Linked DNA regions of Xenopus tropicalis. The protein of the gene in region 2 purifies or fractionates together with the protein of the main gene of each other region. This does not show direct contact. Links are inferred from orthologs where the notes say so. Each region holds a gene or a part of one and is shown on either strand. Other genes may lie near its edges.

Region 1 (2,696 bases), on a different chromosome or scaffold from region 2:
TTACCTTATAAATATATACTTTCTTGGTTCTGTCCAGTAAGGAGTAGGAAGTAAAGGAGTAGGTAGTAAAATAGATTACCAGTCCTCAGTAGAGGAGTAGGTAGTAAAACAGATTACCAGTCTATCTTTGCATAGAAAGATTATACAAACAAAGGCTGCAGATTAGTTATAGCTTCTGCCACACATGGCGGATTCTTGGCCTTCAGATAAACAAGGTTTATAATATTAAAAATAAGGAACATGGATTTTTAAAAAAAAAATAAATTTAAAACTAAACAGAAGTCCTATATATTATACTGATTCCGAGGGAGGATGTATATAGGTGTGTACTGCCCCATTACCATATATATTATTATTATTTTAAAAATACCTTTTCAGGTAAAGAAGGTAAAGAAGGTAAAGAAGGACCCACTTTGCCATTAGCATGGGAAGAAACATTTGGACGCGCTTTTACCTCTGGCATCCAGTACAAAAACAGAGGTCTAGTGGTGAACCAGACTGGCCTGTACTTCCTTTATTCATCTATTTACTTCAGAAGCACTTCCTGCCAGAGTAAAGAATTGTCCCATACTGTCTACAAGAAGTCCAAGAGGTACCCTGGAGAGCTCATACTGATGCAAAATACAGAGTATCAATACTGCACCTCCAATAACAAATGGGGAAGGCACAGTTACCTTGGCTCTCTGTTTAACTTCACCACGGATGAAACAATCTATGTCAATGTCTCTGATGTTAAACTTGTCGGTTTTGATGAATCCAGGACATTCTTCGGGCTTTACAAACTCTGACAATGTTGGAGTGCTCAAAGGAATTATAACTTACCTTAATACAATGGACAGTGTTGAATGTTAAAATTGAAAACAAGCTATATGAATATGACCTGCTCATAATATGTAACTGTTATACAGTGTGATCATTTTCCAGAATTCTGCAACCAACAATGATACCAACTGACATCAGTGTTGTAATACATGTAGATCTCAATGAGAAAGTCAGTTCCATTATTTCTCACTGTAGCATCCCTGACTTTTTAAACACGGTACGTGCTTTGACATAAACATGCAGGGCTTGTTCAAATACAAATGAATATGGCTTTCCAACCAAATTTACCCATCATGAATTATTTTCACTAAAAGTCCTCAAAGTCCACATTGATACAATATTACATATTGCCAACTCATATCCTGGATGCAATTACACTTCACTATACAAAACCTTTTCAAGCACAGAAATGGCCAAATATTATGTTAAAGAACCACTATTTGTATGTTTAATGGCAAACATGCCAATGATCATGCTTGTTGCTTATAGCAGTCCAAAAGTACAGAGGATGACCGGACAGAAAGAGAACTGAAAGCATTAAACACCTTGTACAAGAGAAGAACATGTATTACTCAAAAGGAAACAGAATGTACAGCAGAGATAGGAAAGTGCGGGATTCTGTTTAAAAGAATATGCGCGGCCGCAGAGTTCCTGCCCAACCACTCTCAAGTCATCAAGTCAAGTGAGATGTATGAAATGAGAATATGAGAGCTCCAGTTTGATTTGCTTGTGTTATGTGGGCAATACATTACAATGGAATTAACCAGCCCTAGAAATGATTACGTTGTTCCCAATGTAGCATGGTATCAGTATCAGTCACTGTTGAATTCTAAAGGTTTCTGAAGTAAAGCAGGCTATGTTAACTAAACAGGGCTAGATGTACTGTTTAAATGACACTAACAGGTGTCCCTTATTGTAAATATATAGATATATAATTTACTAGACTATTTATTTAAGATGTACTCCATGTAGTAGCCTGCTATATTATGATGAATATAAAAGTGAAAATACAAATTTAAATTGTGTGCTAATTAGTATGATTGTTCATGTGATACTGTAAACTGATTACTTTACTGGACATCAACATTTTCTGGGTTAAATTAATTCATGTTAATAAAATCTAACTTTGGGGTTAAGAAGAGTTAGTTTGTTCATCAATTTCTAACATTACTGGTGCTTTCAGGTATAGCTTTCCTTATCCAAAATGTATATTTAAACAGCCTGGACACTTTTTTATTTCTATATATTTTTTGTTTATGTTAGTTACAATGAATACACCCACAGATATTTATTAGGTATACTTGGCTATACAAATATCAGTTTTTGGCAAGAATAAACTCCTTATAAAAACAAGCCTTTTCTTTATTACATAGGGGTGAATTAGATGAGCATAGCTTTCTGTGTGTACTTTAAATTTATTATCTATTTAATGTTATATTTATGAGTAGCTAATATCATACTGCTTACCAGTGATGGTTAATAATAAGACTCATGCCTCGTTTCTATAAAAAAATAGGTATAGAATTGCTCCCATTAGCTTGCCATACAAAAAAGGGGGGCATTTACCAAAATTCACATTTTATTTGTTTTAACAAATCATGTTTTTTGCACTAAACCTTGAAACCATGAAAACCGCCATCTAGAAACTATCAACGTCATGTACAAGTCAGTAGGCAGCTGTCCTGTTTCCAATTGGAAGAGCTTCTTTTGCTTTGTGGTATTAGAGGTTTTGGGATTTTTCAGATTTTCCATTATTGAAAAAACATGAAAAATTTGTGGTTTTCATGTGTTTTTTTTGTTTGTGCTTTTTTTTTATAAGGCTGTTTTAATAACTGATTTATTGTTTTAATTGTGGTTTGAAAAAAACACAAAAA
Region 2 (3,837 bases):
TGCTCTGTGTAGCTGTTCTCGGGCCAACTCAATACAGCTAGATACTGGACCGTATTGGAGTGGATCCGCTTCTTTCTGCCTGCCTACAAAATGCGGGCTGAAGAAAGCAGACCCTACAGTTAGTGTAACCTTGCCCTCTGGAGCGAGGCATCAGCCTGAAGGGGAGCTGGGTTTCGTTGTGCATGTTGCTGAGACTGGGGTGGGGTGTAGTGGATGGCTGATGAGGGCAGGGCTGATAAAGTGCACAGCAGCACATAATGGTTGTAAGGCATGCATAAACACAGTTACTTATACATTTCACAAGAGCAAAATGTTGTAGTTTATTAAAAAAAAAAAGTATTGTATTATGCTAATAACATATATAACATATGAGGCACTTTTCAGTAGTCAGGGGCCACTGTGAGGTCTTGTGTGCTAACCCCATGAACTCCTCACCAACTCCAAATAATATTCACAGGCTATAAGCAAGTTCAACAGCATAACAAAAATGCACCAGCCCCCCCACCTTCGGAGAGGCCAGGAACACAGCTGCCTAGCTGCCCCCTCATCCCTCCGACTCACAGGTGCGAGCGCCCCTCTGCTGATAATTTCCAGGACTAGAGCGGCTGTAGAGGAAGAAGAACCCATGGTCTGGACCCTGATCTCTGCCACTGAACTGGTGTTTAAGGAAAATGGGCCAAAATGCGACATATAATGCTGAAACTCTGGCTTAAAATCTGAGAAATGTTTACTTTAAAATATAGTATAAAATGAAGGGCCTTCAAAAAAATGTCCTGGAAGGATCCAGGAAAACAAAAATGGGGGGTTTGACTGTATATTAATTTACTAAATTTACTAAAACTGAATCTTTATATTTCTATATCTCTTTTGTTAGGTGGAGCTGACACTTACCCTGCACCTCTGCACTTTCTAAGATGGATTTCAATTCTATGCTTCTAAGTATTGATGATGGATTAGGACGAGAAGATATAGAGGCTTTAAAATTTCTCTGCAGGGATGTCCTCAGGAAAAATAAATTGTTGTCTGTACGGTCTGGCCAGGAACTTTTTCAGCAACTCATGACCGAAGATTTAATAAATGAGGACAATTTTTTTCTGTTAAAGGAACTTTTATACATTATTAATCACCACAGCCTCCTCCGTAATCTTGGCACAAATAAAGAGAAAGTGCAGAAAGCTCTTCCACGCCAGGGGAGAATATCACCTTATAGGTATGATGTCCTCTATTTCATATGGATTATATTATAAAACTAACAGATCAGGAAAAATAGTACACTAATAGGTTAAATTAAATTTTTAATTCATTATCCCGGTGGGCCCAGGTCCACCCCCTGCTGGCTTGAACTTGTGCCTTATAAAATAGATGCAACATGATGTGTGTGTGTGCGTGCATGTATGTATGGGGAGCTTGCTGTAAGTCCAACCTTGGGTACACTTATTATGGAGTGCTCCACTAGTATCCTGGGCTGGTACAATTTTCAGCAACATGGGGCTCCTGCCTGGGGACTCAAATAAGTGATTATCAGTGGGGGTAATGTTTGGTTACATTAACTGTGAATGTTCCAGATAAAACACTTTCTTTTTCATGCAGGTTTTAATCACACTAGGGATTTGCAATTGGTCTTTATTTTTTTTAAAAATTTGTTTTGGTAGTATCCCGGGCTAGTGCAGTTTTCAGCAAACTGGAGCATCTTTCTGAGGTCTCAGATAAGTCTTAGTCAGTGTGGGGTGCTTAACAAATTGCCACTCCCCAGTGATTGTTCTGCTTTTTAATAATTTGTTAAGTCAACTGAGCTTTATCAGTAGTTACTAGTAAAAAACATGATGTTCCAGATTAAATAATTTCTTTTAAATGCAGGTTTGAATCATTCTGGTGATTGGTAATTCGTCTTCGTTTTTCAATTTCTTGTTGTGTATTAATTATTTATTTTTTCCGCAGCTCCCCAGTATAGAATTTCGAATGTTATATGGTTGCACGGTTCTCTATTAATCTAGCAACCAAGAAGTGGTTAAAAAGATTGGAAAATGGTTAGAAGAGAGTCTGAATAGGCAGATAAGCAATAAAAAGTAACAATAATTATAAAACTTACGCTTTAAAAGGGCAAAAGGGGCATCTGCCCAGGGCCCATTGACTGTGCCACTTTTATTTTCTTGCTATCCCCCTGGCCCTAAGATATGTGACAAGTGTAACCCCCCTTACCACACCGGGTATTTACCAGCCAGCACACATATATAAAAGACATGCATATGCTAGAGTGTAACGGTTGACACGTGACAACGCACTGTAGGCAGTGCTTGTGGTTTTCAGCAACTATATGCTGTGACATAGCCAGGCCTGCTGGTGTGCAGCCTCAAAGGAGATATATGGGATAACTTAAACCCCCTCCAATCTTGTAGCAATAATGTATAATTTATGGTGCTGGTTTCACTTTGGTCTAACAAATTAATATTGTCTTTAAAAATGGCCCCTTTATTGGAGCTCCCTATAGATCTGCTACGGTCCCTGTCCCAAATAAGGGGTGGGTGGTCCCTGTCAGAAGCACAATAGTATGGTCTGCACAGCCCTGCAGTCACACAAGCAAAGACAGGCTTCAGTTCCCTCTCAGGTCAGTCTAACTGCTGATTGGTTCCTATCCTACAGTGTAAATGCCACCATTCCCCCCCCCCCCCTGCACAGCCTAGGAAAGGAGAGTGCATGAAGTGGAACAGTTGGGCAAGACTACCAGGGTTTTTGCAGATTTTTTTTACTAAACACAACTATTTAAAGTACATTCCTTTTATATTTAAAGGAGAAGGAAATTTAAATCACTAATAAATGTACTGGCCCAGGATATTTCTGCAGATAAAACTTGTCGCCATCTTCTTCGGAATGTTCCCTCTTCTTTTCATTCCAGTTGTGGCAGGCACATGCGCAGTAAAGGGAAAGCCGAACTTAGAAAGAAAAGGTAAGACTCTTTGACTGTAATGCGCATGCCCGTGCTCCGGTGAAAAGAAGAGAAGGACAAATTATTGTGCAGAAATACCCCAGTCTGGTGCAGTTTTCTGCTAACAGGGTTAGTATCAGGTAAGCTATTACAATCACTGCCTACTCCCTAGTGATTTAGACTTTCCCTCTCCTTTAACCCTTTAAGTGCCACACAACATACTATCTGGGTTTGGGAGCGGAGGAGCACTTGTTCCGTTCCTTCCCCAGCCCCTAGGCAACGAGTAGAGGTGGGGAACAAATGGCCCCTGGGGCATGATCACCCAGGGGCCCCTAGGCAACAGCAAGCACGTGGTTACTATGTGCCTGCTGTTGCTTGCACTTTCTACCCACCCCCCCCAGTGCGAATACTCATAGAATCTGCAGGAAAGATGGCTCCTCCTGTTCCTGGGTTCCTCCTGTGAATCTCTAGCCTGCTTCTCTAGCCTCCCCAGGTTAATGTCACATACACATGCAAACACACACTTACTACACTAATACACACTTATACTTACACGCACATATACATTTTGGGGGGATTTAACACATTCACAGCACTCACACTTAGGGGCTAATTTACTTATTTACGAACGCCCCGACCGTTCGCTCGATCGGTCCAATCATATTTTCCGCGACTTTTTCGTACCTTGCATGACTTTTTCGGCGCTTGTGCGACTTTTTCGTATTTTCAGTGCGAAAAAATTGGATTGGATTTGCCGCTGTTTACAATAGTTCGGTACGAAAATTTTGTGACTTTCGGATCACAATACGATATTATCATGACTAATACGATTTTTTCGGAAGCATTTTTGTGATATCTGCGATCTTCAGGAATTTTAGTTTCCAATCCGAATTTTTCCCATTCGGGATTCGAAC

The links.
Region 1: the proteins of casp10 (region 2) and faslg purify together in Homo sapiens (co-immunoprecipitation; 3 studies listed by BioGRID and IntAct, with this or other methods). This does not show direct contact. The link is inferred for Xenopus tropicalis from reciprocal best matches to the Homo sapiens genes CASP10 and FASLG.

Annotation. Positions count from the first base shown.
Region 1 is NC_030680.2:107,203,675-107,206,370, reverse strand, and holds the end of faslg (tumor necrosis factor ligand superfamily member 6), read left to right. Parts: intron 1-378; coding exon 379-788; 3' UTR 789-2,159; downstream 2,160-2,696. UniProt on the Homo sapiens protein: Cytokine that binds to TNFRSF6/FAS, a receptor that transduces the apoptotic signal into cells. Involved in cytotoxic T-cell-mediated apoptosis, natural killer cell-mediated apoptosis and in T-cell development.
Region 2 is NC_030685.2:53,954,907-53,958,743, reverse strand, and holds part of casp10 (caspase-10), read left to right. Parts: intron 1-874; 5' UTR 875-914; coding exon 915-1,210; intron 1,211-2,893; coding exon 2,894-2,944; intron 2,945-3,837. UniProt on the Homo sapiens protein: Involved in the activation cascade of caspases responsible for apoptosis execution. Recruited to both Fas- and TNFR-1 receptors in a FADD dependent manner. May participate in the granzyme B apoptotic pathways.